3 linked regions of the Mus musculus genome follow. The protein of the gene in region 2 binds, or shares a complex with, the protein of the main gene of each other region. Links are inferred from orthologs where the notes say so. Each region holds a gene or a part of one and is shown on either strand. Other genes may lie near its edges. The genes, in order: Kansl3, Kansl1 and Kansl2.

Region 1 (10,091 bases), on a different chromosome or scaffold from region 2:
AAACAACAAACAAACAAACAAACAAAGATGGCTGGGCATATTCTAGCAGATGTGGGTAATCTCAGTCAGTTTGAGGCCAGCCTGGTTTACATTATCAAACTCCAGACCAGCCAGAGCTATATACAATGAGACCCTATCTCAAAAGAAAAATTTTTAGCTGTATGCATATAATTCTAGCTATTTGGGAGGCTGAAGTAGAATGATCACAGCCTTGAGGCAAACCTGAGCAATTCAGCAAGACCCTGTCTTAAAAAATAAATCAAAACGGGAACTGGGGAGATGGCACGGTAGGCTAAGCACTGAGTCGGCCTGAGGGCCTGACTTCAGGTTCCTGCTCATACAACACTTACGGTGAGCACCTGCACTCCTGGAGGCCTGAGGTCTGCCCAACCCTAGCAGACACGACAAGTTCCAGAGTCACTGAGAGATCCTGTCTCCAAAACTACAGTGGAGAAGTGAATGAGAAAGATAACCCCAATGCTAAGCTCTGGCACTAGCACACAAGTTACACACAGACATACACCACAGACAGACAGACACACACCATACAAGATCCAGAAATAGAAGTTAAAAGCCAAATGTTGAATAGAAAGCTAAAATGGGCTGGGCATGGTGGCGCACGCCTTTAATCCCAGCACTCGGGAGGCAGAGGCAGGCGGATTTCTGAGTTCGAGGCCAGCATGGTCTACAAAGTGAGTTCCAGGACAGCCAGGACTATACAGAGAAACCCTGTCTCGAAAAACCAAAAAAAAAAAAAAAAAAAAAAAAAGATAAAATGGCTTGGACTAGAGCTCTGGCAGGCAGTGTTTGCCTAGTCCGCATGGGACGCTGGGTTAAATCCTAAGTATTATACAAGGAACTGGAGGAAGTGACACACATGTACCTGTAACTGGAGAATTCAGGAGGTGCAGAAACGAGGACCAGGAGTTCAAGGCAATCCTTAGTTACATATTAAATTCAGGACCAGCCTGGGCCTGATCCTCTCAAAAAATATAATATGCAAAGGTGGATGAGATGGCTCAGTATTTAAAAGCACTTGCAGTTCCTGCAAAGGGTCATAATTTGGTACCTGGCACCAACATGGCAGCTTACAATTGTTCTTATTAACTCCAATTCCAAAGGATGTGGAGCCCTCTTCAGACCTCTGAAGGTCCCAGGAATGCACACATACATATGCAGACAAAACTCATACACAAAAAATAAGAATAATAAAATAAAGGCAATCTACTGACCAGGATAAAGCATAAGAAACCACGTAACAGAAAAAGGATTAACATAAAACCAGTGTTTGTTTTACTGTATGTAAAAACTCACATTGAAGTGACCAAGATCCAACTCTAAAAAGTCGTCCTCTAATCCCCACCTATGATCTAGGGTTTTTTTGTTGCTGTTTTTCCCTAACTTGACACAGCTAGAGTTATCTGGAAAGAGGAACCGTAACTGACAAAGGGCTTCCATAATCACACTGCATATGTGTAACCAGCAGAGCACTGACGGGGGAGGGCTCAGCTCACCAGAAGCACTGCCGCTCCTGGGCAGGTGGTCCTGGGGGTATAAGAAAGCAAGGTGAATCGCTAAGAGGAATCGACTGCTACTTCCTGGGTAACCCTAAAGATAGCAATGAAGACATGGTCCAAGAGTCAGCCTCTACTGATAAGGTCTGAATGATGAAACCAAGAAAGGGAGGAGAAAGGGAAGAAGAGAGAAATACTCAGAAACATTCTACCCAGTCACGGATGCCCTTGGAGCTTCACCATCTCAATCCTCACAACAGACAGTTTTACAGAGAAGGAAAATCAAAGAGGTCCTGCCTTGCTCAAAGTGACAAGGCTAGAAACTCAGAGTCCAAATGTGAATCTGGTCTGCCAACAAGTTCAGCGCAATGGCAGGTGTGGTCAACACTGTGGCCAGCCCCACATTTACCTAGGACTGGAACCTGCTCACTTCCTGGGTCTGCCCAGGCCAACTCACCTGTGAACTAGATGGTAGCATCTGGGAGTTGGGCTCCTCGGACGGCGTTGCCCCTGACCCCATAGGGCTTAGCGTGGTAATTCTGCTTGGCTGGCCACGCAGCGTCAGAGTAATGGTGGTGGGGACCTTTAAGCCTAAGTAAGAGACAGACAGACAGAGAGAAAGTTAGGAAGACAGGGTACTGATTTCTAGCCTCTACTTTCAGGTAACAGTTTCTTCCCAAAACAGCATCTTGGCTTTCTTCCTGGGCAGGTAGGTCTACGCTGTCAGTAAATTTGAAGGGCTCCAGTCTGTGTTCTCTAGACCTTTCTGAGGGCAGGTTCCACAGAGCTGAATCCAAGAATCAAGGAAAGTTCACCTTGCCTATCTAAGACCTGGAAATACCCAGAACTGGAAGTCCCCATCATTTTCATGGCACTTACCTGATGCTTGGTTGGAAATCTGAGCCAAGCCAGGTAGGCTGCTTGCCAACTTAGCGAGGCTCCCATTGGTCAGCAGCTGGTGGATGGCAGTGGGCTTCCCACCAGGAGTGGCACCCAAGGAGGAGAGAGTGGTGGCCACAGGGATGGTACGGACAATGGTGCTCGTGCCTGTGGTGATGGCACCCAGACTCTGCATGGGGGTTGGCAATTTCACACTGGTGGCCTATTGGACACAAGCAGATGATTAGAAGTTACCACCCAACAATAACACCAGAGCCTGCAGAGCCCACTCAGCACATGGCAAGCAAGGTACTCTTCCAGGATTTTTATTATCTTTATATTATCCCTCCCATAAGAAGTTCTTATCCCACACTACCCAGTACAGCAGATGATATACCTGTGGGGCTGGCCCTGGGGAGGGACTTCCTGGGAGGCCAGAGGTCTTGCTGCTAATATCCTGTAAGCTGAAGCTGAGGCCCTGGAGGAGGCTGCTGGCTGAAGCGGTCCCTAGGAGAGGACATGGCAGATGCAGCAGACATCAGTCCCGGGTATTACCCACAAGCAGCCTATAGCACTTTCATCCTACAACAACCTAAGCTTGCCCTTAAGCACTACCCTGCCCTCAGAAAGATACCAGGAAAGCCTTCCCAGCACACACAGAAGTTACTACACAAGGACAGGTGCTATGCCAGACACTGCCTTGGATTTACTTTTCCAACCTGTTCTAAGCCAGCAGTCCTGCACTTTGTACAGAAAAACGGAGAGCTTGAATCTCACTTTTCAGAAACACAAATTCAATTACTTCTACAGAAAAGAAAGAATAAAGCAAGTGGATTCTGATACCTGACCACATTACATATAGTCCAACAACCTGAAAGTAAAATCTTAAGGGAGAGGTAATTCAGCAATGTCCTAACCCATGGTACCGGCAATCAGCCCTTCCAGGCAGGCTAGGCTCAGAAAAAGTAGATATCAAAGAGGTAAAACACATCTCACTTTGCTGAAGTTCAGTTCAGCACCACCTCCAGCTTTATCTAGTTGGAGGTATGAAAAAGAAGAAACAACACAGGCAACTGTCTATCCTCACAGTAAAGGACACAGCCCCTACAGACAGTAAAGACAAGCTAATTCCAGTTCCCGTTAGCTTCTGCTACCACTGGGAGAGCAGAGCTACTCTTTCTCGCTCCAGTTCCAGAACTGGTCTAAGACCACCCCCTGCAGCAGCAGATCCAAGACAAGATACCTGGAAGGGAGCTGCCTGGAGAAGTGGCCACCAAGCGGCTCTGCAGCGTGTGGATAGCATTAGGTGTGGCACTGCTGGAAGCCACAGATGGGGTTGTGCTGGCTGTACCTCCACCTTCAGAAGAACTTGACCTGGAAATAAAGGAAGGAGCCCTGTTATCCAAAGAGCAGCAGCCCACAGCCACAAGGGGTATCCCGAGTGAAGTCCGTCCGTCAGGCAAGGAAGAATCTTTGGTTTCTGTTTCAGTTCCTAAGCCCCACCTCTATCCTTCTAAAAGCCAGGCCTAAATGAAAGAACTCAAGTCCTGGGTAAAGTCAGTGGATGCTCTGTCAGAAAGAAAGCTCCCAATCAGAAAAAAGTCACATGCCTACAACTGACTCTAGAATATCTCAACTTCCCTGAAGACCAAACGAAGCAGAAGTTGAGTGAACAGGAGGAAGACTAGGAGAGCAAAGGCAGACAGACTCACTTGGCTGTAGTGAGAAGTCCAGTGAGTTCCTTGGCTCCTGCTGAAGCTCCCAGGGTCATGGTGATGGGCTTCCCTCCGGCAGCTGCAGAATAACCAAGACCAAAGTTCAGTCCTAACTTGCCCCTAAACCAAGGCTGAATTTAAGATGGAAAATGAAAAAGAACAGCTATGCTATTCAGGGACAGCTGGGGTTCTTCTCTTCCTTCCTTCCATTTTTTAAGCTGTCTATTACCTTAATTAAAACCCCAAATGGACAAAGTGTATAATGTTCTAAATGGCCCCACAAGTACTCTGATATTGTCTCCCTTCTTGAGACAGGTGACTACCACTTTCCACCATGTGTGACCTCAGACCATCTCTGTTCCAGGTGACCATTGACTGACAGAGGCTGGGTTGCCTGCCAAGCCTGGGAACGCTGATCAGCCTTTATCAAAGACAGCACAAAAGACTCACCTTCAGGTGTTCCACCTTGAGAAAGAGTGCAAGGTCCTCCAACTGTGTCCCCTTGGGAGATCAGGGACACTTTGATCTTTGGTCGCTTGGAAGGCTTTGCTCCAGGAAGAGGACTGGAAGAATGGTGCCTCTTAAGCTGGACCCGAAGCTCTTCTTTCTCTATGTCCTCCACTGATTCTGATGAAATGGGAACTAAGAAACAGAGCTGAGGTAAGATCTTCTATAACTTATAAATACCACAAGCCAAGCCATCCAGAAGAGACATGTGGAAGTTGCACAGGAAAAGGGACACAGGTACAGGTTGTCCCACCCATTGGGGACCTGACTTGGAATATCTCAGAGATAACTCAGCCTATCTCAGTTGCCCTGGAGTAGGGAGACAAGGGGCCTTGAGCTGTTGGGAACCAAACAAAGGATAAAAGGCATGCTGACATCATCTAGCAGAACCAACCCCATCAGAGAACTAAGTAAACAGTTTTCTCTGCACTTTCCAGACTCGAAGAAGCTGGTCATTTCCCTGTTATACACCTTCTCCCAAGCTGTCCCATAGCTGGGGACAGTAAACAGCCTATAAGGAACATCCACAGGCAGGCCACCTAATCCTCTGCACAAGGGAGTTTTCCCAGGGCTTCCGCAGCCTCCATCATGCATTAGGTACTTGAGGCTGAGGGCTTTGCTTGTCAAATGGTGGTAAGGCAGACAGACTGCTACCAGGAGTTGCTGGCTCTCAGGAACTACTAGGTGAGGTAGCATTTCAGCTGCTGCCCAAATAAGACAAAAGTGGCCCATGTCCCAACCAGGTCTACGGATATGAACTTCCATTAACTCAAACAGATCACTATGTATAAAGGCAAACGTCCCTTGCCTCCCTAGGCTTGATAACCTTTAGACTTTCTCAGTTTCCTGCTCTGTAACCTCAGAAGTCTCTTTTGTAGTGAGCAAGACAGCAGGCCAATGAACATTGGGGTTGCTGGCGTGGGGCTACAGTGAGGGAATCAAGGGCTGCTTAGGGATGAATGTACCAGCCTAAGACAGAGGAGTGCTCTAAGCAGCTCTCTTGTACTTGCAGCAATCAGGATGGAAACAACCAAGGCAGGGAGAAAACAGACAAGGAAAATGCAGGCTCACATGAAGGCAAGCAGGCCACAGGCATACAAGCATACAAGGGAGACTCAGAGCCAAGGAGCGTGGCAGAAAAAAGTGAGAAAGCAAGAAATGCCACCATGAGAAACCAATAGGGAGAACATAAGCAAGGGAGCTAGTACAAGGAGCTGGGAGACAGAGAGAAAGGAAGAGAAAAAACCAGTGGAGAGCAGGGAACACTGAGAGGCAGGGAGGAGAGCAGTAAGCCTAGGCGAGCAGGTGAAAGCAATACTCACCAAAGAGACAGGAGGAGGTGCCAGGAGGAAAAGCTTTCCTCACCAGCATGTTTTGTTTCAGAAAAGCAGCAAACTGTGCTGGAATGAATCAGAAAGAATTATAGAATCACAGCCAGCTAGAGAATGGAGGAACAGAGCGGGAACAAGGAAAAGATGAAAACCGTCAACCATTCTTTCTAAGGGAACCACACAGATCTGGAACCTGACTTTGCTGTGTAATTGTCACACGAGGCTGTTGCCAAGCCTCAACAAGCTAGGGCAAGTCACCTCCAAACAGAGGGGTCAGCAGGCAGTGAGAGTTCTGTTAACTACTGTTCCCCACCCACCCATCAGCTCTGCCTAAGCATGGTTGTATGGATGCTGCTATCCTACTGACACTCATGGCTCCCATCTTAAACCCAGCTCACCATTCAGCCTTCCAGACCACCTTACATTTCTCCACTAATCATGCTACCCAGAGATACAGCAACCTGCTGGCTCTGCCTTCACTAAATTCTAAGGAAATTCCACTAGTCCCAAGTACCACTTACAGAGCATGTACACAGATCCCAGGTACCCAGCCTCTTTTGTTGCCTTCACCCACCCACTCATACTTGTTAGTGGCACTTCATAAGAAGCCTTAGTTTAAGTAATGGAGCCTTTGGCCTCATTAAAAGTAAAAGGGGTGGTGAGCAGAGGACCATGTTGGGATGGAGGGGAGTGGGACAGACAGACATTAGGGACAGAGCCACCGATGCTTCTTTCTTTACTCACTGAATTCTTTCTTTTCTACAGCTCCTTACTCACACAACCCTTGGATCCCTCCAAACCCTGATTTCAACGATAGTGATGTTCCCCAGTCTTATCTGAAGCTTAATGGCAGAACACTGACCAAATCTGTAAATGTCGCATCATGGAACTCTTTAACTCTTCAAGACCAAACCAAAAGGACAAGGTGAGCTAGCCTATTCTGAGGAGTAAAATCAGTCACCACGTGCTTATCATTTGGAAAGCCCTCTGACTCCAGGAATGGTTGGCAAAATACACGGCTTCTTCAATTAGAAATTAGAAAAAACGCCAGGCTACTACACACACGGTTAGCTTATAAGCTCAACGTCTCCAGCACACCAGAACACGGTGACTATGACAAAATGCCTATTACCACATAGCCTTGGGACTCGTTTCAACCTGAGTTTACCTAGAAGCAGTATGGGAGCCTCTCAAGCTGCCCTGAAAAAGCTGCAGAGCTGATACTTCCCAACTCCACATGACACTAGCTGCAGGAGACGGAGCCCCACTGGGGCTGCTGGGCCAGGAGACCATCTGTACCTTGGGCTTGTCTGTGGGTCAGCACAGCTTCTGTCCTCTGCACATGTCTTTTCAGCAGCTGGGAGGTCCCAATCTGACTTGATTTCTGGGTAGAGGTCACTGTGGTCACTTTGGTCTTAGGGCTAGAGGTGGGGCTGCTGGACACACTGGAGAGATCCTGGGTAGAGAAGGTACAAAGAGACTTGAATCCAAGCATCATTCGGCATGGCTCCCTGCATCTCCCCTTACAGGGATTCCCAGACATTCCCACAAAGGAAGACCTCAGTAAAGGCGCCTCTCCCTGCACACACTACCTCTGAGCCTGAGGGGGATGTGGGGAGCCTGGCAGCTGGGGAAGCAGGACGACTGCCTCGCTCAGGAATTTCAAAGGCCAGGTCTCTTCGGGTCAAGTCCCGGGGTTTCTTCTTCTTCTCAGCATCCTGATCCCGAGGCTCAGAGCCCACATGACCCTCAGCACGAGTGAGCACTCCAGTCAGGAAGTCTACAATCTCATCCTAGTGTGAAAAGGAGCAAAGGCCTTAGTCCTCCCCTGGAGAACAGGACCCTCCTAGATAGCACCAAGATAAACAGAACTCTATTCTCCCATGATGGTTCTTTCCACTCCCAAGGCCACATACAGGCCAAGCTTAGCTGCGATACCTGGGGAAGACCAGCAGGTGCCTGTGCAAAAGCTCTGGGCATACTCCATGCCCCACTCTGTTGAGTGCCCACCCATATCTCAGTTCACCTCTTTGCTTTGTCCTTCCCTGCTCTCCTTTCTTTGACTGTGACTTAGGTCTACCACACAGCCTACTGGAAACCCTTCATGGTCCAGAGTGAGAAAGGCTGCTGCCAGTAAGACAAAACCTAGCAACAAAAAGGAGAGCAAACTGTTTACCTGAATACATCTGTCCACCATGCTCTGAGTCAGGCCCTCTGATTTCTTCTTTGCTTTGCTTATTCTAAGAAGCAAAAAAGAAACAGTGAGAGCAGTGAAATGACCAAGCAGAGAGAGCATGACGACTGAGTGCAAACTCTGCAGCCTAGAGTGGAAGGGACCTGACCTTGAGAGTTGTCTCACACACACACACACACACACACACACACACACACACACACACACACACACACTCTCTCTCACACACATGGAGCGGGGGAGGGAGGAGAGGGAGAAGGAGAGAGAGAAAGGAGAGCTGTAAAAATTTTTTTTACCTACAGAGTAAGACCCTATCTAAAAGCAACAAAAACCTGATTTCTGACTGATGCTCCTGGAAAACAGAAAATCAGACCCATAAGTTTTACAATGGAGAGCAATATTACTGAAACTATACCAGCCCTCCAAAATAAATGGCATTTAATACAAATACTACCTATGTTCGTATTGATCTTCCAATGTGAGTTGCTCAGGACCTACATGGTTTAAAAGAGAACTAACTCCTGCACATTATCCTCTGACCTTCATAAAGTGTCAGGGCATGGGGACACCGGCACACAAAACCAGTAATAAAAATGTAACTCAAGGAGGCTGGTGAGATGGCTCAGTGGATAAGAGCACCAACTGCTCTTTCAAAGGTCCCGAGTTCAAATCCCAGCAACCACATGGTGGCTCATAACCATCCATAACGAGATCCAATAGCCTCTTCTGGTGTGTCTGAAGCCAGTTACAGTGTACTTACATATAATAAATAAGTCTTAAAAAAACTGACTTTGCTTTTTTTAAAAAAATGTAACTCAAAAATTTGAAACAAAAATTTTTAATCAGGTAAGGTGGCATACACCTTTAATTTCAGCACTCAGGAAGCAGAGGCAGTAAATTTGAGGCCAGTCTGGTCTACACTACATAGTTATAAGACAGCCAGGACAACAAAATTAAAAAATTAAAAAGAAATAAAATAAAAAATGTAAAGTGTATGTAATGAAAAGTTTGATGTCAAAGACAAGAGTCTCAAAATCTTTCCTCCTGACGGACCAGTGCACACCATTAATTCTAGCATTAACTCAGAGCAGAGGCAGGTGGATCTGTGAGTTCCAGACTAGCCTGGTCTACATAACGATAGTTCCAAAATAGCCAGAGCTACATAGAGAGATTCTATTATAATTTCTGCAACTAAAGATGTTTCCTAAGATTTAATGAATGGCTGTCTTGATGACCAAAGTCACAAGACACCTTACCTTAAATCCCTCCCAAAATCTGGCTTTGTTGATACTTTATAATGTATCAACAAAGTCAGGCTTAACACAAGTAAATCTATGTTCATACTGGTCCTCAAGGAATGAAATTTTTTAAAATGCCTACCCCAGGAAAAGTCTGATTACAATCTCAAAGTATAACCTCCCCACAAGATGACTCCTAATTACAAAGGGGAAACAGTAATTTCATAGTGGAGAACCCCACAGTAGCTATCCCAACTGTATGATCAACGTTATTATCAGTAGTAACAAGATAAATTGAATCATGTATCCTCTGACAGAATACACTGAGAAGCAATGTCACCTTTGTGGCATTCCTGACAAAACTAAACATCTTCAATAGATCAGAGAAAAACATGTAAAAGAACTATCGATATTTTATAACTGATCAGCCATCTTCAACCATGTCAAGGTTCCAGAAAACAAACACTGAAGACTAGGCATGGAGACTCAGGAGGCTAAGGGCAGAAAGATCCTCCTCAAGGCCATTCTCAGCTACATTGTAAATATGAGTACAGTCTGGGCTACATGAAATCCTGCCTCAAAACAAATAAGAAAGAGAGGGAGAAAGGGGCTCACTTTCTCTCCAACCTCCCTCCCCTTCTCCCTCTCTCTGTTCCTCTCCTCTCTTGGGAGATACTGATGAAATCTAGGTTTGTTATTTAGATTAGACAATA
Region 2 (10,804 bases):
ATCTATGTAGGCTTTTCTGGGTGTGCCTCTCTATGAATGGTCTGAACCAGTTGCTCTGCTATCCTCTTTCTCCAGGTGCCTCCAAAATCTTATTGATATAGCGGTCTTCTCTGCCAGGCAGGGTAGTATAAACTTAGGATCCTATCATTTGGGAGGCTGAGGCAGGGGGTTCATGAGCTCAAGGCTAGCCTGACATGTGAGACCCTGTCTCAAAGAAAAAATCAATACTAATCATAAATAAAGAAAAATCCCTCTGTTTTGGAAAAGATGACAGTTTTGTGTATTGTTACATAGTTGTGTTTATTGTGGCAGAAGTATTTCTGATTGTATTACAAAGTTTATTTAAATTAACACTCTGAACCAAGTCCCCCCCCCCCCATAGTGTCTCTTATCCTAGATCGATCACTCTCCCCCCCCACCCCCTTTCGTTTCTCTGTGTAGCCTTGGGTGTCCTAAAACTTTCTGTGTAGACCAAGATAACCTTGATCTCAAGAGATCTGCTGGTCTCTGCCTCCCATGTGCTGGGATTAAAGTTGCCACCCATGTGCTGGGATTAAAGGTGCATATTACCATGCCTAGCCTTTTTGTTCAGTAGCTTGAGACATTTCTTATTCTATCACTGTACTCTTGTGTATACATAGAACCCTAAAATGAAAGGCTTAAGGAAGAGTAGCTCAGTGGGTAGATACACTATTGTATAAGCACAAGGACCTAAGTTGGAACATCCAGCACCTACATAAAAATGTACTGTGTGTCTGGGGTCAAAAACAGGCAGACCTAGGAGTTTGGTGGCTCGGCAGCCTATCCAAAATGGGTGAACTTAAGGTTCAGTGAGAAATCTGTCTCAAAAAATAATGTAAAGTACTGGGCAGTGGTACCTTTAATCCCAGCACTCACTCTGGAGGCAGAGGCAGGTGGATCTCTGAATTTGAGGCCACCGTGGTCTACAGAGTGAGTTTCAGGACAGCCAGGTAGGCTGGGGCAGGTTTTATGTTTTGTTATTGTTTTAGAATTGTCAACTGACTTATGAAAATTATTTATTGATTGATTACGACACAGTTTCATGTATCCCATGCTGGCCTTCAAATCTCTGTGTAGATGATAACTCCTACCTCCACTCAAGTGTTGGGTTTACAGGTTTGGGCCTGTTGTGTCTGGTGTATGTAGTGACAGACTTGGCAGGGATCCTGTACGTGTAAGGTAATCAGTCTGCCAATGATAGAGTCACCCTTTCTGGCTCAGGATGGCCTCAAATTCAGGATTTCTACATTAGACTCCTGGATAGCTGAGATGATAGTGTGCCACTGTGGTGGCTTGGGTTAAATTTTGATGCTATTTTTTGAATTATCCCCAGTTTATTTTTTGTTTTAGAAGTATGTTTAGAGTTAGTGTTTGCAATGTTATTGTTTTGTTTTTGCTATAGCTAATTCATAAGTTGCTTTAGAATTAATTTTTTCTTAATATTAAATCATTTCTATGGTGAGAGAATATATTTATGTAATTCTAGAGCTGGAGTATGAGGAGGAAAATTACCTTAATTTGTTTTTTTTAAGGTGGAGTTTATAAAAGGAAAGCTATACCTTTTTTGGAAACAGCTTTTCATGGAGTACATACTCTAAAATAAGAGAAATTAATCTTTGTTACTATCTTAAGGTGTGAGAAACCTAACTTCACCTGTTTTAAATAATCAAATGTTTTGTTGTTTTGTTTATAGCTGGAATTGCAGAAGTCATGCAGATGTCAGAATTGTTATGATGTAACTGTCATCAGAACGAAGACTCTTGGCAGCTATCCATTCTGTCTGCTTTGATGCTGATAGCCTCCTAAAGAAATAAAATATTTTAATAGTTTAAACTATTTAGTGGCAGTGGGGGCGGTGCTTATTTTTTTTTTCCCATCTCATATTAAGATGAATGGTTTCTTCTTGGTTCTTTCAGAGTCTTCCTAGGTAGCTTCCACTCTTACCTCATGCTCAGTCCTAACTAGTCCCAAGTAAAAATATTTGCCCAGGATAGAATGGATATTGAGCACATCAATTATGACTGTTCTAATAGGTTATAAATGTGGATTTTGTTTGTTTGTTTGAAGCAAGATCTCACTGTGTGGTACTTGATGGTTTGGAACTCACTATGTAGACCAGGGTAGCCTGGTAATTTGTCGGTAATCCTCCTGCTTTTGCAACCCAAATGCTGTGATCATAGATATGTGCTACCTTGTTTGTGTTTGCTTGTGTGTTTTTTGAGGCAGGATTCTCTGTAAAGTCCTAGCTATCCTGGAAGCTCTGTAGACCAGGCTGGCTTCAAACTCAGAAATCTGGCCCCTCTGCCTGCCAAGTGCTGGGTGTGATCAACATCCTGAACCATCAAGCTCAGCTTTGTGTGCATGTTTTAATCAGCCTTATCATGCATTGTTTCTCTGGGGGAATTTTGTTTTTTTCTGTGTTTTAGCATTCCCCCAATTCTGGGCTCCATGTCTTGTCTTCCCTCTTTACTTTGTGTACCAGCAAGCATTTGGATTTTATATGACTGTAGCTGGTCTAGAAAGTCTATGTGTTGATGTATAGCTAAGGATGACCTTGAATGCCTGATCTCTCCGGATCCACCTTGGGATTGATAGAATTTGAGAAGTTGTCACCAAGCCTGTCTCTAGAGGAGGTTCTTAGGTTTTTTTTTTTTTGGTTTTCGAGACAGGGTTTCTTCATGTCTGACTTAGACCGAAGTCTTTTTTTTTTTTTTTTTTTTTAAGACCGGAAGTCTTTAAAGAAATACATTTCTTTTTCAAAACCTCCTCTGTGGGCGTGGTGGCACACACCTTTAATCGGAGGCAGAGGCAGGCGGATCTCACAGTTCAAGGCCAGCCTAGTCTACAGGGAGAGGACAGCTAGGGGTACATGAGAAACTCTGTCTTATGTATAGATTTTTGTCAGTAGTTGCTCACTTTGAATGCAGTTGTTCATAAACTTGGTACTTAGTTTTGTTGTTGTTTTGTGTTTTTGTATTTTTATTTTTTTATTATTGGACTGGTTATACTGAGATTCAGGAACTCTGGATTTTCATGCTTTCCCCACCCCCACTGAAATGCTGGAATTGAATGCATGTGTCAATATGCTTGAGTTAGGTAGTGAAGTTTCTGTTGTGGTTTTTTTGTTTGTTTGTTTGTTTTGTTTTTGTTTTTTGAGACAGGGTTTCTCTGTGTAGCTCTGGCTGTCCTGGAACTCACTCTGTAGACCAGGCTGGCCTCGAACTCAGAAATCTGCCTGAGTGTCTATACCCAGCTGTCACAGAACTCAGTATGTAGAACAGGCTGGCCTTGAACTCACAGAGTTCTCCTGCATCTCTTTTCCTAGTGCTGAAATTATAAATGGCATGCAGCACCATGACTGTGTAGATAGTCAAGATTTTAAGAGTTTGGATAGTTAATAACATTGTTATAAAGAGTTTCTTTCACTAATATTTAAGAAATTAAATTTAAGAATATTGTAGAAAGCTTTGCCTTATTTTCATTCAGCTAATTTAGATTTTGTTATCTTCAGATTAGGGCTCTAGGTCACCATCTGTTGGTCCTGTAATTATGTATAAACATCCTCTGTGGCATTACTGTTTATGTGAATATATATGCTCTCTCTCTCGCGCACACACACACACATACATACACACACATGCAAACACACAATCTTACCTGTATTATAAGTTAAAAAGCCCAAACTATTGATCTTTTTTGGATGCATATGTAAATATGTATACATCTATCAGTTTATCCCTGTGTATTGACTCTATGTTGTCTCCTGCCTTTGATATTTGAAAACCAAGATCATGTTTGAGAGTGTAATTTTAAAAATGCAGATGGAAATTCAAGAGAAATATAGATGCAGATACTGCAGAAACTTGTTGAGTTAGAGACTTTGTGGGCTAATGAAAACTGGTCTATAACAATAGTTTTTTTTTTTTGAGGAGCTGAAGTGACACATAACACCGGATACTGGTTTGGTAAACCACACAAAGTATTGAGCATTTTACATCTTCCTTTTGGTAGACTCTACTCTTCTCATCTGCTGAGCTTGGTGATTTAGTTGTTGGAACAAGTTTTATGCTATTTGATTTTGGTGAGTCCTAATAATCTTTGGACATGGTTAGCTTTAAAGGGTGGTGGATTTGTACTGTGTAATGTGTCACTTTGCGTTATATTAAGTTTTCTAAGTCCAGAAAATGTTCTCTGATATTAAACCTTATTTGGGAGGAAGGAACCGATATCGTGCTGACAAACTAGAGTCAAGAGTAATTAGGTGCCACTACTTTTAAGTCAACGCTGGTAAGAACATGACAGGTTTGCTTTTGTTGTTCATTGTTAAACTTTTAGCGGGTCTGTGAACTTTAATTTGGTAGTAGCAGGAAACAAAAAAATTACTGTGTAATGAATGCGTTTTTGCCTATTTTGGCGGATCTGACAAATCAAGAAGCCTAAAACAACACGCGGGCTTAACGAAAACTACAGTTCCCAGCGGGCCCGGCGCTGGTGGGCCATCATTTCCCCTCTAGCTCCCAGCTGCCCCTGCCCGGGCTAGCCCCGAGTCGGTCCTAGCTCGCGCCTGCGCAATGGCGTCCGCTTATTTTTTGGTTTGGCGGCTGCAGAGCGTGGCGCTAGGGCTAGCAGCCAGCCGTGTGCTGCAGTGTACAGAGCAGGGTGTAGGACAAAGGGCGGGTGGCAGGGACCGCGTCACTGGTCAGGGAGCTTCCTGCCCGTCTCAGAGCACGGTTGGCCCTGGGGTAGTGTGGCCGCAGCAGCTTCTTCATTCACTGCACACACAGTTCTTCGCTCACGTCCTCTAGCTCTGCTGTGTCAGTCCGCCCTCCCCTCAAACCGGCGCGCAGCACCGCCAGCCACAGAGCCGAGGGAATGTGACGGCATCAGCGCCTCAGGTTAGCCTCACCTCGATCGAAGCGAGGGCCCCGCGTCGCTTGCCGCAGTGCCGCGTGTCGCTGCCGCACGTATCAGGCACCAGGCACCGGTTTCCGCAAACAGAGGCGCAGAAGCAGCGGCCGCGGCTAGGAGCCATGACTGAGGCGGCGGCGGCCGCGCCTCCTGGCAGCCCGCGGGGGCGGCGAGGCGGGCGCCCCCTGGCGGCGCGCCGGGGCGGAGCGGCCCGCCGCAGCCGCAGCCGGCGGAGGCGCTGCTGTCCCTCCTCCCCGTGTCCCCGGCACTCGCCCGCTCGCTTGCTCGCTCCATTCTCCCTCCGCTTCAGATTAAAGGGGGGGAGGGAAAAGGAGCTCGGCCGCCATTTTCCCAGTGCCGCCGCCGCCACCGCCACCGCTCGCTGAGCCGGCGGGAGAACCAAGCGCCGTAGCGAAGCCGACTCGTCTCGCCGCGGCGGCTTGGGGGGCGGCCGAAGTGCGCTCCCCGGCCGGGAAGAAGCTCCCGGGGTGGCGGCCGGGGTGCGGGCGCGGGCTGCAGACGGCGGCGCTTGTTTGTGCGGGGCGGGGGGGGCAGCTTTACCCTCTGCCCCCGCCCGCCCGGGGCTGCGGTCCCCGCCGTGCCCAGGCCGGGTCGGAACGGAGGAAGGCCGGAGAAAGGGCCCGAAAGAGAAGAAAAAGCAGCCGCTCCCCGCCGCCGCCGCCTTCCCCTCCCCCTCCGCCTCGCCCCCCCGCCCGGAAAGTCAGGGCGGCTCCGGGCGCCGGGGGGGAGGAGAGCGGCGGGCCGGGCCGGAGCAGCAGCCGCGCGCCCCCGCCCGCTGGTCCTCGGCGCCCAGGCCGGGGGGCTGTTTGCAAACTGCGCCCATTTTGTGGGGCCGAATCCGCCCGGGCTACGCTCCTCCATCACGTGGTAGGTGCTGCTGCTGCTCCTTTCCTCCTCCTCCCGCTGCCCTTTCTCCTTCTCCTCGCTCTCCCTGTGGTTCCCATTTCTCCCTCTCTTTGTTAGTTGTAACTAGAAAGGCTGGGCAGGGGAAGAAAAATCCCCGGAACTTTAAATGGCCTCTCCGGGCTTCCCCGCTGCGGGTCCGGGCTGGGAGTCGCCCCAAGGGCGGGGGTGTGCGGGGGCCCTTCCCCACCAGCTGCCGCCTCGTTCGCTGGGCTTTCCTTTGGCGTTCTATTTAAAAAGGCGGCCTGGAGAACCTGGTTTATTTCCGAAAAAAAAAAAAAAAAAAAGCAAAAACAAAAAGACCAAAAACAAACTCTTGCTCTCGCCTTGAACTTCTCTTGACTGCAAAAGGTCTTTCTTTGCTCAAACACATCTTGCATGTCTGTCTCACGGTTTGTATCACAACTCTGATTGTTAACATTTTTTGTTGCTTAAATATTGAGGTCATTTGCGTTTTCGGATCTAGTCTCAGGCAGCCCTTTTTTTCAACTAAAGAGGAAGAGGCATTTATTTGCTTTTAAGTGAGTTGGAATCTTACTGCTTTTGGGGGGGCCTGTTTTCGGACTGACGGCCTTTGATTCTCAGCAAATAGTTTATAATTGTTTTCCGTATTGTAAACAATCTTACTCCCATGTTTTACCTAGAAATCCTTTTGTTTTCCAATGTTGGAATCCCAATGTGGATTTTTAGAGAAACTCGTTACTTAACTATTGCTTATTGATTGCCTTAGGGGAAAAGGGGTGACATGATGGCGCCACTTTAAATTGCTCTTTCCTCCGCCTGTTTTTTCCTCCTTTATCCTGGAGGTCACTGGAGCATTTTCCGTGACCTATTAATAAAACCGCACTTGAGGGTGTTAGCTGTACAACTCTTAGGGGTTAGAATTTGGTACCTTAAAGATTGAGAAACCCGAATCCTGCAGTCCCCAAAGTTAAGAGAAATCTCGCTAGTCCTCCAACCTAGCTTTCCTCCCCTCCATTCACAATCCTGGTGTTGCCATATCCTTCGTCACGTGGCTAGCAATCATTGTGGGGTTTTGTTTGTTTGTTTGGGGGGGTGTATGTTAATATTTTAAGCTGTAGCCAAGTAAGTGTCCCTCTGCCCATTAGAGAGATCACAATGCTCTAGGGTTTTTTTTTTTTAATACATTCGGAGAACATTTTAAAATAAACGATAAAATTACATAATCCTTGCCTTGCATAATCATGATATAGTTACAGAACTTCTTCTCAAAAGTACTTTCAATCAAGTAGGAAAATCGTTATATTAAAATGATTTCTGTTTCTTAGACTGGTCTGCAGTTTATATTTCCCACCCCACCTCCCTTTTTTGTTTTTGTTTTTAAGGTCATTTGAAGTACCAGTATTTACAAAAGCATAAAGTGGGCGTGTTTCCCTTTCCTCTCTTCTATGGGCTGTACTTGGTTTCTTGTCTTATTCTCCTACCAATTTAGAAATTTTCAATTAACTGCAGCTGTTGTCAGTTGAGACTTTTTTTTTTTTTTCTTCTGACAGTGGATACTTTTGATGTGTTTCTTTGTTGCATTTTTGATAGAGAAGTTTTTAATTCTAGTTTTCCAATCTTCTTACTTGGTTGTTATAACTTCTTGTAAATATTAACTATAAAATGCTAAAGTACATTTTTTTCTTTTTCTAGGTAAGTTACTAGCTTCAAAAAGTAAATATAAAATGTAATTCTTGAGTATGATTGATCTGTTTTCTCCTGATGTATGTTATCAATGGCTTGGGCCATTTTCTTTGCTAACAGTTACATCATGTCATGTGATAGGTGCAGTGTGATGTGTTGCTCTAAAAATATTGCGAGGTAAAAATGCTCATCCTTTGGAAATTTAAACAATGTATTGTAACTATTTGGTAACGACCCTTAGTCATGGAATCCTGAATTAGATTTCCACTAGGTTTAGCCAACCAAGTGTACAGTTCTTTTGACCTTTAGAATATTTGATTTGATTTGTTAGTGACCTCAGAACTTGAGGTGGTTTGACATTATTTTTGAAGTGTGATCTACTTGGAACCATTAACAATCACATAGATTCTTAAAATCTTTATTCTGATGAAGGTAGTTATTTAATTAAGTGTATGTGATGATTTGTTTCTGTACACAAAAGTCATCAGTTCTATGCAGATTTTGAGATAAATTGGAGGTTTGGTTTTCCTACCTATAGGAATCTGCAAGTATTGGGTTGCTGCATCTTTCATGAAAACCCAATTCAGACCAGTAGTGTCTTGACTTTCATGTTCATGTAATATTAAATCTGCAGAGCACTCTTTGATTTTTAGATAATTTACTGTCCTGTTAAGGAAAATTCTGGAAGCTAGAAAACAGTTTAATTTATTTGAACTTTAAGGTGAGAAGAAAGAATATTGTATTTTTTTTTCTCCTTCAGATACCACCAATGTCTTTTTTTCTCTAGTAATGCTACACTGTAATCAGTGTTTCTGTATAGTATAGCCCCTGGATTTTGACCAAATCTAGTTTGGCCACAGATTTTAATTACTTTTACAGTGAACAAATTTGGGGTTTGCTGTGTTTGATATGAGCTATTTTATGTGATCTGTAAACAAGGCTTTTGTAGGTGGTGATGCCTATTTTCAAAGGCATTTTAGTATTGAGTTGTTGTAGCTGTGAGTGAAATTGTTCCCTTAGTTTAGAAAAATAATTTTTCAAAATGCTCTTTAAAACATTATATTGTACAGAGAAAGCTTTGGGTTTAAATGGTGTGTTTTCCTATTCATTTTCTTTGGGTGGGGGTGGAAGGTTCCTAGGCCTCATCTTTCCCACCACCTTGTTTTGGTGAGGCAATTAAGACAGAAATGAAAGTGTCTTTCTGGAAATTTTTTTGTGTATTGTATATATACAGAGAGAGAGTGTGTGTGTATTGTATTGTATTGCCTCTAGTTCTAAGACCTGTCTATTTCTTGATCTAGATGGAAAGAAATAGTGTAGATTAAGTATAACTAGCAGTTATCTCTGGTTATTTCTATGACCCACAATTCTCTTCTCAATCTATATATAACACTCAAAAGATAGTACTTCCTATCTCTTCTGGCAGACTTGAAATGTTGATGCCCTCTACTTACAGTACTTTCCTAATTTCTATTGTCTTTTGTTGTTCACCTCAGTTTTTGAGCTTGCATTTTGAGAAATGGAAGTACCAAGAAGAGTCCTAATTTTGTCTGAATTTCTACACTCTGGTAGTAATGTTTTTGCACAACTTTAGTGTCTGTAAACTACTATAGAGTTTATTAGGTTTGAAACTATAACTATGTCTGTTCAAGTTGAAAAATAATTCTTCCTGTAGATTCTTTTTAAAAACTGGAAAAAAAAAGGTTTTGTTTTGTTTTTTTAAGATAAAGGGAAATGGTCCAAATCTTGTTTGCACTAGGATAGCAGGCCAGGTGTTGGGGCATTTTATTTGAGACATCTGCACTGTACTCTGTAAAGAGAGCAAGAAAAGGACACTAATGTAAAATATCCTTCCTGAGACCAGAACAGCCTAACTCATGAAGGAAGGAGCTTATTTAAAATGAAGAAAAGAGGACAAAGACAGGTCGTTTACAACTAAATAGTGGAGAAAGTGCTCTGGCGTTATGTTTATGTTTAGTCACAGGTCTGGCCCTTTGTGTGTAGGCTATTGGAAAGCCTTAGCTAGATAATAGTAGTGGCTTACCAAAAAGCTTGGAGTCAAAAGTACAGTAGATTATTTTATTTAATTTATTTGTTTACTTTGGTTAAGCTTTTTCTAATTTTTGGTAGGGTAAAGGTGAAGCCAAAATGTAAAGTGGAAACCAAGTTCCCCAAATTAGAGAGCATAGCTCGCAGGTGAATGAAAAACAAACTTGGAAGCCAATTGGAATGGCACATACCTTTAATCCCAGTATGGGCAGTGGATCTCTGAGTTTGAGGCCTACATGGTCTATGTAGTAAGTTCCAGGACAGCCAGAGCTACAAAGTGAGACCTGTCTTTTTTAAAAAAAAAAAAAAAACTTGAATGAATAGTCTGCTTGAAAAATTTAATGATTGTATATGAAGATTTTAATGACTAGTATAAATTTTTATGAACCAAGTGAGTTTGTTTTTTCATGATTGAAGGGGACATTTTAAGTGTTTTTTTTCTTCAGATTTTCAAAAATATGTATTTATTAGTTATTTGTATGTGTGTCTACATGTGAGTGTGTAAGAGAGTGTAGATGCCCAAGGAGGCCAGAGGCATCAGGTCTCCTGCAGCAGGAATTATGGGTGGTGTGAGCTGCCTGATATGGGTGCTGGGAACTGTAAGTGGTCTTAATGGCTGAGCTGTCTCTTCCCTCTTTAAACTTTAATCCTCTGTTGGCTAACTCTGTTTTGGCAAATGCTAATTGTTTAATAAAAGTTGCATCTTGTTAGTGGTGCTAAGCTGTAATACCAACCCTTAGTTCTTCAAAACATCGTCTATTAGGCAGGCCTGCAACTCACTACCAGTAACTTAAGAACCTTGCGTCAGCCTTCTGGGTGGTGGGGTTATATCGTGTATGCCAACATTCCCTACATAAAATTTTTTTCTACAAATCTTTTTAAGATTTCAAACTAACTTCATAGAAATTTAGGATTTGAATGATTTCTACCACAGAATTATTTATACAATTACTGGCTCTGAATTTGTTTTCTAGGGTCTTGTATTTAAATTTCTTCTCTAAATGATGGAGTCAGAATGCAAAGTTGAGCTAAATTCAGTGTAATATTTTGTTACTGTACATTGTTACTTGAACCAGAAATTTGAACAGACATTTTAGTTAAAAATTTAAATATAGTAGATTTTGTTCTTGTTTGGAAAAAGGGCCATGAACTTGATGAGGTTCCTCACCTTTTAGTTTCTTCTAAAAAAAAAAAAAAAAAAACCCAACAAAACAGCAGTTTAAGGTCAGACCTGGTTAAATTCAGTTGGAGGGGA
Region 3 (10,091 bases), on a different chromosome or scaffold from region 2:
TAGGTCACGTGGGTCCTCCGGAAAAAAGTAAAGTGCTTCTAACCACGAAGCCATCTCCCCAGCTCTGCTAACCACGAAGCCATCTCCCCAGCTCTGCTAACCACGAAGCCATCTCCCCAGCTCTGCTAACCACGAAGCCATCTCCCCAGCTCTGGGGTGGTTAATCTTGTCACTTGTTTGGCTTGAGAAAAAGCCAAGAGAATATGCGTGGAGGTGTCACCAGAAGACACTTCTAGATGTGATTAGATCACAAGGATTCTGACTAGATTAACAGGTCATCTCTGACCAAACGATGGAGCCATAGTCTTATGACACAATTGGGAGACGGGGCCTACTTGAAGAGTTGGGTCCCCGGGGTGTGCACTTGGGGCTATATCTTGCCCTGGGTCCCTCCTATGCTCCCTTTGTCTGGTCCCTGGCCACCACGATGTGAGCTGCTCTGATTCTACACATCTCTGCCGACATCTCTAAGACGGTGAGCATCCTTCCTGCCTTAGGTTGCTCTGACAGCTGCTTCTGCTACAGTGGTGCACAAGTCACTGATGCAGGCTCCTTGGTTGGGGCTTGGTCTTGCACACTGTATATTCTAGATGCTGCTGACTTCTGGGCACAGAGATGTTAAAGTGATTTTTTATTCTCCTGTAGTCATGGTTGTCTTGGAGGCTTTCTGCCTCTGTCTGCTAACCTAGGCCTAGTCCTGGAAGCTTCTAGCTGCCATACAATCTTATCTAAGCCTAGGACATGTCAGTCTCTGGCACTTACCGCTAAATAAGCTCACCCTCCCTTGTTCCTTCTGATCTCTGACTGGCTGCTTCAACTCAGCTGTTCTGGCTCAAACTCCTCTCCAAGCTGACTGATTCAATCCACTTCTCTCTTGACATCTGACTTTTTGCTCTGCTTGGCCTCAAACTAACTCTAGCAATCTGTTCTAATCCTCTGGCTCCTTCTCAGTCTCTGGCTTGTTCTGTCTTCACCCGTGTCCTCTCTCTGTGACCTGTCACTGTAAAGCTCTCCCAGGAAAACTGCCTCTTCTTCTTCCTCCTCCTCTTTTTCCTTTTTCTGCACTTTCCTCTGAAGTAGCCTCCCTTTCCTTTCTCTTCTCATGAGAGCTGGGCGTATTCTATTCTGGCAAATCTCTCTGATTCGTCACTTTGTCTGCCACTCAATTAAACACCACTTTCAAACAAGGGTGCTTCCTTCTACAAACCAACTTTACTTTCATTGTTTGGGATTAAAGGTGTGTGCTAAGGGCTGAGCCACACCCTAACTAGAGGAGAAGAGGTTAGAGAGCCCTCGTGGACAGACCAAGATGTGGCCATGAGGCAGAGGGTCCAGGAGATGTCATGATGAGCAGGTCACCAAGGGACTCGCCATGGGGACTCACGTGGAGCAGAGCAAGCCAGGGAGAAGCTCAGAAGGAAGATAAAGAACCGAGTGGCTAAGCAGTAGCCTGGAGGGTTAGAGTGGACGACATCTTCCCAGCCTAGACTTCCAACTTACTAAATAACTTAATGGGTCTTTATGTCCTTGACTTGGAGGTAGAACGGGAGCAGATGAGGGGTTTGTGTTTACAGGCTACACTGTTTCAGCCTTATTTTTGACTATTGCCTCAGAATCAAGGGAGAATGCAGTTGTAGTCCAAAGAAGCAGGTATGGAAGAAACAACACTCCTGCAGAGTGAAATGGCCTTGCTAGCAGAAGACTGACAGACTCAGAGAAAAATAAAGAAAAGATATTGCTATACAAAGAGCTAAAGGAAGGGTAAAGCCAGCCTTAAAGGGCCGGGAGTGGGAGTGGCATTGTCAAGACCAGGAAAGGGAAGACTATAAGGAAACGGAGGCTGAGAGAGCAGAGACCAGTGAAGTAAAGGTGACTAGGAATAAAGATGGTTCTGACGCATGCCACTTCCCTTTGTCTAAATAAAAGAATCCACTTGGTCGGGGCTAGAGAGATGGCTCAGCGGTTAAGAGCACTGACTGCTCTCCTGAGTTCAATTCCCAGTGTTGGCATCAGGACCTCTGGAAACCTGTGACATCACATAAATGACAGTGCAACCTACATACCTGTTGCCAAGACAACAGTCACCATATTCCCAGAATCCACTGGGCTCACCTCCCACCTTTACCTGTGACTACCTCTCTCTCTCTCTCTCTCTCCCTCTCTCCCTCTCCCCCCACCCCCTTTCTCTTTCCACCGCCACCTTCCTTGCCTCTCTCTCTCCCAATAAACCTCTTACATGTGGGACTGTTTTGGCCTAGTGTGCTGTGTTCAGACGCAAGCTGCTATTCTAACACATCACCCAGCAACCACGTGGTGGCTCACAACCATCTGTAATGGAATCTGATGCCCTCTTCTGGTGTGTCTGAAGACAGGGGCTGGGAATCAAACCTGGGTTCTCTGGAAGAGCAGCCTGAGCTCTTAACTGCTGGGCCACTCCCTAAGCCCAACAAACTAACTTTACTTTTTGGTTTTTCGAGACAGGGTTTCTCTGTGTAGCCCTGGCTGTCCTGGAACTCACTCTGTAGACCAGGCTGGCCTTGAACTCAGAAATCCACCTGCCTCTGCCTCCCGAGTGCTGGGATTAAAGGCGTGTGCCACCATGCCTGGCTCAAACTAACTTATTTTAAAAGGAGAAAAAAAAAATAAAGCCAGGTATGGTAACGTATGCTTTTAACCCCAGCACTAGGGAGTCAGAGGCGGGAGGACCCGAGTCTGAAGCAGCCTGGTCTACCGAGGGTTCTAGGCCAGCCAAGGCTGAGACTCCACCAAAAGAGGAGAGGTGTTGGGAGCACGGGGGGCGGGGTGGGGAAAGGAAGAAGGGAAGTAAGAAAATAGTTTGTAAGACCGTGTAGGATTTATTTGTGTATTTTGTGTGGGGTGTCTTTTTCTTGCATGGCTAACCAAGTATCAAGTGGGCTTAGACAGACCTGTGCTACAGCCTTGGTAATGCAGAACAGAAATTATAAATTAGAGGGATTATAGCAAGTTTTTGCCTATGCACAGTAGGAATGAGCAATGCATGATGGTGGGGGGGGGGGGAGTTACTTTTCTAACCTTGGGCTGTCCTGAGGTAGCTTACTGAAGTAAATGCTGATTCACAGCAGCTACATCTGAGAAAGTGGCAGCTACTTTGTTACATTCTGAGTGCTTCTAAACACCATGCTATTACAATGAAACAGGCCTTTGAAAAGAAGGTATATGACCAAAAGGCTTCCCAGTCTTGTATTGTTTTCTTAATTACTTAAGGGCCCTGAGCAGGGTTTTAGGTCTCCCCAGCTCAGTCAGGAGTGATATTCCGTAAGATTTGCGCCCATCTCCCTAGCTCCCCCTTGTGGTTAGTAGTGGCCACTGCAGCCATGTTGAGTTTCCTCGGGAGCCCTGGCTGGCACATGACACACCAAAAACATGATTCCGTCCAAGTATTCAGTGAACTGTAGGGTTTATTGGCTTGTTTACAGGAATATGGATGACCCAAAGACAGGTTCATCACTGAAAGATAGGTTCATCCCCCCCAAAATGGTGATAACTCACAAAAGTTACAACCCTGGTGTTCCCTACACAACTTGCTGAGAGGTGGTTTGCAGTTTGCTGGTTGTAGTCTCCTCTTCGCATACATAGGAGCCACTATCCCTCCTAAGTCATCATAGTGTGTATTTCCCATGAGCCATCCAACCTTCCCACTCTGGGGTACCACTGTGGGGCCTCCACGTGTCGCAGCAGTGGGGGGATTACAGTTTGGCCTGGCTCTAAGAGATGTACTCTGGTCTGCCCTCAGTGCTCTTTGAACCAGCTCCCCTTCTGACAATCCGGTCCAGTACCGTGCTCTTGTGCTTTCCACTGGCCAACCCCGATGTGATTATTTGAATTAGAAATGCCCGCCAGTCTCTGGCACTTGGACACTTGGCACCCAGCTGGTGGCAGTTTTGGGATATCTCGGTGATACCGAAATGCTGCAGGAAGTGATCACTGGGGATGGACTTTGAGATAAACCTTGTGTCTTGTACGTGTGCTGTCCCACATGCTAGTAGTCCCCATGCGAGCTCACGGCTTCCTGATCCTGCCATGATGCTCTATAACCCCTCTGGAACCTTACATCTTAGTCATAAGCAACAGAAGAGTAGAGAACAGCCAACACCCGAAAGGGGTCTGGGCTGAGCGAATGATCTAGTCTACTTCCTTGCAGGGAGAAATGGATGACTGCCCACCCCAGGGAGGAGCTTTGCCGCTTTCCTTGGCAGTTTTATTAGCTTCTTCCTGGGAACTGCTCATCATTTCTGTCTAACGCTCCCCTAGGAAGCGGCTTTACACAAACCTCACCGCCACACTGTCTGCTTTGCCACTCCACCATCCTCGCTGGGGTTGAACCAAGGTCCTAAGGCTCTGTGCCAGGTCTCGAGTGAATTAACCCCTAGCTTTCCAGTGACACAAGTTTACCTGGCCCTGGGAACTAGGTACCAAGCACCACCTCTGTCGTGAGTTTCTCCAGAGTGCCTGTCTTAGAATAGAAGTAGTATACACCTTTCCCATCAGAACATTCTCAAATCCAACGAGAACACAATCGATCCAGATCACTTTACACTTTGATAGCATTTTAACATTTAATAGAAACTATATACAGTAATTTCACTACATATTACATGGAGTCACCACAGGAACTTACATAAGTTAAAAGCAAGAATAACTAAGTAAGGAGAGCCCAGACCTGTGAGCTGCTTTTCTCAGTTACAGTTCACAAGGAAACGAATGGGCTTTGTATTGCCCAACTATGTAGAGCAGAGGAAAGGCTTAGATACAGGCCTTTAGATACAGCTAGCCAGACACTAAGGGCCAACGCCTGCCGAGCACCGTCTCGAGCACAGCCCGCCTGGACATCCATGTGGGGTTCTGTCCGTGGCTTAGGAGTCCCATTACAGAATGTCTCTCTCCCAGGCAGTCTCCAATATGCATTGTATCCCAAAGGCAGGGATCACCTCACATTCTTCCTTGAAAAAAAAAAAAATCCCAAAACTTATATACTAAATATTCATTCCACACAAACTTGGATTATGTTTGTCTATAGCGCTCTAAAGCCCCAAAGGAAGCAATGTGGTCTGAGTTGTCCCTGTTCAGGGAGAGATGATCAGAGATACACTTGTCTGAAGAATGGAAAGTTCAAATCCAAAGGCAAACAATTCCCAGAATGAATGTCAACTGATAGAAGTGGGTTCTGGTTTTCCATTCGCAGTAGCCAATCCACGCTGAGGGAATGCTGCTTTCTCTACACTTCGAGCTCCCTGGGATCTGCACCCATCCCCAGCCGCCTGCATCTGTCCCTATTAAAATAAATAAAGGCACTTTGGTTAGAGACTCCCTCCAATGGGCCTGACGCATGACTCTGACAGAGCAGAGAGATAAAGTAGCTAACATGCTGGTTGCTTCCCCAGGATACTGCTGATCCAAAGAACCAGAATTACTGAGGCTGTGAAACCAGAGAGAACAAGGGTTGTTTCTTCCAAATGAAATAGTCATTCTCTACTGAAGTCCAGAGTAGCTAATAAACCACTGGAAGACAGTTCTCTAGGCGTCTGCTTGAAACCAACAGCTACAGTGTATAACTGCTAGTCTTCAGTAAGAGCCATGGGTAACCTCCCATCCCTTGATTCTAGAATAGCTCGAGTGATGAACGCTCCCTTAAAGAGACAATGTATCTATCACCTTTCACTCAAACAAACGGATGCCCCCTCTTGAGGATTAAGAACCATTAGGAGTTCTGCGGTTCATCTGGAAAATTAGTACCGACAAGCATTCAAAAGCAAAAGAAGTTGTTTTATGCCTCTCTATCAGCTCCTGCCTCCAGCTTCCCAGCTGACTTCCCCGGTGACGGACTGCGGCTTGAAGTAAGGGGTGGAATAAGTCCTTTTCTACTCAAGTTGCTTTGGGTTGTGGTGTTTTATTAAAGCGGGTATTTCCATTTTATGGCATCTTGGGCACTTTTGCTCTCTACTTGGGAATCACGATACTCCCTGGAATTCATGCTAGCCAACGCCTGGCCTGGTCACTACATGAGGGAGCCTAGCTGACAGTCATTGTTAAAGATACCCACTGCGTCTCCGGCACTTTCTGTGACTGAATGATCTTCAAGAGTTAGCGAAGGATCAAAGAGCAATGGCGACGGCGGGCATGGCATGCCATCACCCACAACATCCAAGTCCTGGGGAAAAGAGAAGAGTCCGTCAGCAGCATCTAGGACATCAATAAGCTACAACTGACAATGTTCACCAAAGCTCAAGGTAACTCTACCCCCCCCCCCCCCCCCGCTTAGATCAGTGAACAAGATCAACAACAGTAAGAGCCTCTCTTAGCTCATTTCCACTAGGAAAGTCATGAAGTGAAAGAGCGACCACCGAGAGTCAAGGGGGAGGCTTAACAGGGACAGAGTCTGTTTAAACCGAGGGAGGAAAAAGATGCTAACAATGACTGCATAACACACTACTCAAGATCAATACCAATCAACTGTAAAGTATCACACAGGTTCTTTTTGTTTGTTTGTTTTTTGTTTTTCAAGACAGGGTTTCTCTGTATAACCCAGGCTGTCCTGGAACTAACAGTGTAGACCAGGCTGGCCTGGAACTCAGAAACCCGCCTGCCTCTGCCTCCCGAGTGCTGGGATTAAAGGCGTGCGCCACCACGCCCAGCATCACACATGTTTTACAGTGAACAAAGGCATCGCTAAGTGAGATGAACTGAGTTTGAACCCCAGAATCCACATGGTGGAGAGAATAGACTCCTAAAACTGCCCTCTGATGTGCACATAACACATGCATGTTCACACACACACAAATTAAGTGTAAAAGAACACTTTTAAAAGGAAAAATAAAGAGAAAATACAAGGCTGGCAGATTGGCTCAGTAAGTAAAGGCTAATGGCTTGTATTTAGTCACCCAGTGGAAGGAGAGAACTCGGATGCATGCCTTGTCACACACACTCACACTACACACACACACACACACACACACACACACACTCTCTCTCTCTCTCTCTCTAATTACAGTCAACACCTACGCTCCTGACTGAGGCATCCAATAAGAACAATCAGCCTATGGACAAAGTAACATGAAACCCTGCTGGAAAACACACTGGTGATACAAGACTGACCAACATTCACGGAGCAAGCAACTAAAGAGAGGACAGACCACAGAAACTCAGATGTTTCTGAATGGCAAAGACAGGATACTGTGGTTAACTCCAATCCCTAGAATGAGCAATGTGGCCTGAGGTCAGGCCTTGCTCTCTCTCTCTCTCTCTCTCTCTCTCTCAAGGCAGACAGACATTCTATACTGCACTACATCTCAGTGCCCTCTTCTTCACGCTCTACTTTGACATGGGTCTTACTAAGTTGACCAGGCTAGCCTGGAACTCACCCTGTGGCCCAGGCAAGACTTGACCTTAGGATGCTCTGCTTCAGCCTCCCAGGAGCTGGGATTAAAGGCCTGTGCCACCTGGCCGGGCTAAGCCTCTGAGTCTTACACTTAACATAGTTCAAGTATTCTGTTTAGGGGGAAAAAAAAAGGACATTATATTCTACACTCTACGCTTTGCATATGAATCAGCCATTCCCAGAGACACTGTGGAGTCAGCAGATCAAAAGCATCACTCCTGGCTCCTTCCTCAAACCAACACTGATTTAGGGCCCACATCGCTATAGTGGTTCAAAAATTATGGCAACCCAAGTTCCAAGCCATCTCGACAAATTCGGCTAATGCTTTTAAGCTCTAGCTAAGAAAGTAAAGGTGCCCCATGACAGAAGAACAGGCAAAGGGAGGGGAGCAGAAGGGACGAGGAAGCAGAAGGCTGGCAGGCAAAGAGACTTCAAAGTATATCATATGCCTATATGAGGCTGTCACAAGGAAACCATTCTACATAATTAGTATGTATCATAAAATCTTGGTGTGCTAATCACCAGGAATAGAAATCATAACCTTTTCATAATTAAGGGTTAGCACAGTTTAATAAGTTTTTAAAAATCTAAAACTTTAATCCTGACACTCAGGAACCAAAAGGCAGGTGGATCTCTCTGAGTTTGAAGCAAGCCTGGTCTACAGAGCAAGACCTTATCTAAAATAAATCAAACAAATAAATAAAAAGCCAAACATATTTTTAATTGGGGGCTGGAAAAATAGCTCAGCAGTTAAGAGTTTCCAGAGAACGCAGGCGCAGTGCCCAGCACCCACACGGCGCTCTACACAGAACTAACTCCACTCCAGGGGATCCGACACCTCTTTTGACTTCTTAGGGCACCGGGTCATGGACACGGTACGCATATGTGCAGGCCAAACACTGATACACATAAAATAAAATTGAATCCTTAAAAAAAAAAATTAAGTCTAAAGCCAAGCATGGGAATGCTTACCTTTAAACCCAGCACTCTGGAGGGAGGCAGAGGCAGGCAGATCTCTGAGAGTTCAAGGGATATGTAATGTATCCTTTCTTTAAAATGCCTTTAAAAACAACAGCAAGTAAACAAACTGCTCAGTGCAAGCAGGAGGAAAGAGACAGCCACATTGCCCACTATCCACTACAGACGTCCACTGGACACAGCTCTCGGCCCACAGAAGCCCACGCGCACACCACCAAGACAGTGCTCACTTTGTTTCCTGCAATTTTTCTTTTTAAAGCTTGGGGTTGGTGCCAGCTCTTTCTACCCACAGGTACATTATATAAACAACGTCTATTTGTGAGAATGCCAGGACTGAGTGGTCAAGAGAATCTTGTCCACTGGGCAACTAGAAAATGTCTATTTTGAGTGGGAAGGAAAAGCAAAGGTAAAGAGGTAAGTGCAGGTAGGAAACCCACTCTGGGCACTATCACCGTAAACTGGAAAAGAAACCCCCAATACCCAGCTCTGCCCTATGGAAAGGGCGACGCTAACGCTAAGCTTCCCCATCACTGAGCAGTCAAACTCTCTAAAGCCATATAGGAAAGTGCTTAAAATGTTAGGCCAGTTTGGCCTTAAAATAATTACTCCAAATTCATAGCTAAGAGATTTACAGACTATATCCTAAGCTGCCAGACTCCCAGAGCAAAAGGAGACTGGCATCATCTCTCTCCAAACAGCAGGGGAAAAGTAGGTTTGTACAGGACACAGCCTTCCAGGGACCTCATCCCCTGGAAGCAGTGACTACAGAGGTTTTAAGCGCAGGCCGTTTCTCGAGATGGGATTCATAGTACACATCATTTGCTCCATCAAGTACCTCCCAAAAGAGCTCACGGAGAGAAACACGTGTTAATCCTGCAGAGGATCCAGGTTCAATTCCCAGCATCTACATGGTGGCTCACAACTGGCTATAACTTCAGTCCCAGGAGATCTAACCTCTTCTGACCTCTGATGCCAGGCACACATAGGGTGCACATACATACATACATGGATACATACATACATATATACATACAACAAAACACACACATTTATAAAACAAACTTTTAAAAAAGAAAAAAAGGCATCAAATGCCAGCTTTTTAAAGTCGTGGTACAAGCTGGGTTTCAGGAAGCAAGCAAGTAAAGAAATGCTCAGACCCCACTCATAAAAAAAGAAATGCTCAGACCCCACTCATAAAAAAATGCTCAGACCCCACTCATAAAAAAAGAAATGCTCAGACCCCATTCATAACAGCATCAAAAACACTAAATTAGAATTGAACCACATAAAGTCTGAAAACTCAATAAATTTTGTAATAAAATCTGTCAAAAATAAAACTTTTTAAAAAGGGTCAGCAAAACTGCTTATCCACCAGAAGATGTTTAAAAACCACCAAAACAAATACAAATCATGTTTTTTACTCATCTCATTAGAAAGTATGGTACCAACATCCTCAGTAATGATAGGTGCTGCATATAAACACCTTGATAAAAAAAAAAAAAATCACTTCCAAGTTGTGCTCTACGAATCCCATCCCTGAGAAACAAAGGAGGCCAGGCATGGGGGTTCATGTCTCTAACACCAACACTTATGAGATATGGATCACGAGTTCACGTTCAACTCAGGCTACAGAATTAGGTTTTGTCTCAGAACAAAAAGTCTGGGGAGGAGAAAGGTAGAGCACAGAGTGTAGATA

Evidence for each region.
Region 1: Kansl1 (region 2) and Kansl3 share a complex: the UniProt entries of both Homo sapiens proteins name them as parts of the NSL complex. The link is inferred for Mus musculus from reciprocal best matches to the Homo sapiens genes KANSL1 and KANSL3.
Region 3: Kansl1 (region 2) and Kansl2 share a complex: the UniProt entries of both Homo sapiens proteins name them as parts of the NSL complex. The link is inferred for Mus musculus from reciprocal best matches to the Homo sapiens genes KANSL1 and KANSL2.

What each region holds. Positions count from the first base shown.
Region 1 is NC_000067.6:36,341,280-36,351,370, forward strand, and holds part of Kansl3 (KAT8 regulatory NSL complex subunit 3), read right to left. Parts: intron 8,187-10,091; coding exon 8,123-8,186; intron 7,740-8,122; coding exon 7,539-7,739; intron 7,480-7,538; exon of another isoform or gene 7,403-7,479; coding exon 7,246-7,402; intron 6,016-7,245; coding exon 5,938-6,015; intron 4,751-5,937; coding exon 4,559-4,750; intron 4,188-4,558; coding exon 4,106-4,187; intron 3,768-4,105; coding exon 3,637-3,767; intron 2,901-3,636; coding exon 2,791-2,900; intron 2,617-2,790; coding exon 2,394-2,616; intron 2,106-2,393; coding exon 1,972-2,105; intron 1-1,971. UniProt on the Homo sapiens protein: Non-catalytic component of the NSL histone acetyltransferase complex, a multiprotein complex that mediates histone H4 acetylation at 'Lys-5'- and 'Lys-8' (H4K5ac and H4K8ac) at transcription start sites and promotes transcription initiation.
Region 2 is NC_000077.6:104,436,738-104,447,541, reverse strand, and holds the start of Kansl1 (KAT8 regulatory NSL complex subunit 1), read left to right. Parts: upstream 1-5,221; 5' UTR 5,222-5,817; intron 5,818-10,804. UniProt on the Homo sapiens protein: Non-catalytic component of the NSL histone acetyltransferase complex, a multiprotein complex that mediates histone H4 acetylation at 'Lys-5'- and 'Lys-8' (H4K5ac and H4K8ac) at transcription start sites and promotes transcription initiation.
Region 3 is NC_000081.6:98,514,236-98,524,326, forward strand, and holds the end of Kansl2 (KAT8 regulatory NSL complex subunit 2), read right to left. Parts: intron 7,528-10,091; exon of another isoform or gene 7,401-7,527; intron 6,191-7,400; coding exon 6,083-6,190; intron 5,644-6,082; exon of another isoform or gene 5,482-5,643; intron 5,313-5,481; coding exon 5,187-5,312; 3' UTR 3,423-5,186; downstream 1-3,422. UniProt on the Homo sapiens protein: Non-catalytic component of the NSL histone acetyltransferase complex, a multiprotein complex that mediates histone H4 acetylation at 'Lys-5'- and 'Lys-8' (H4K5ac and H4K8ac) at transcription start sites and promotes transcription initiation.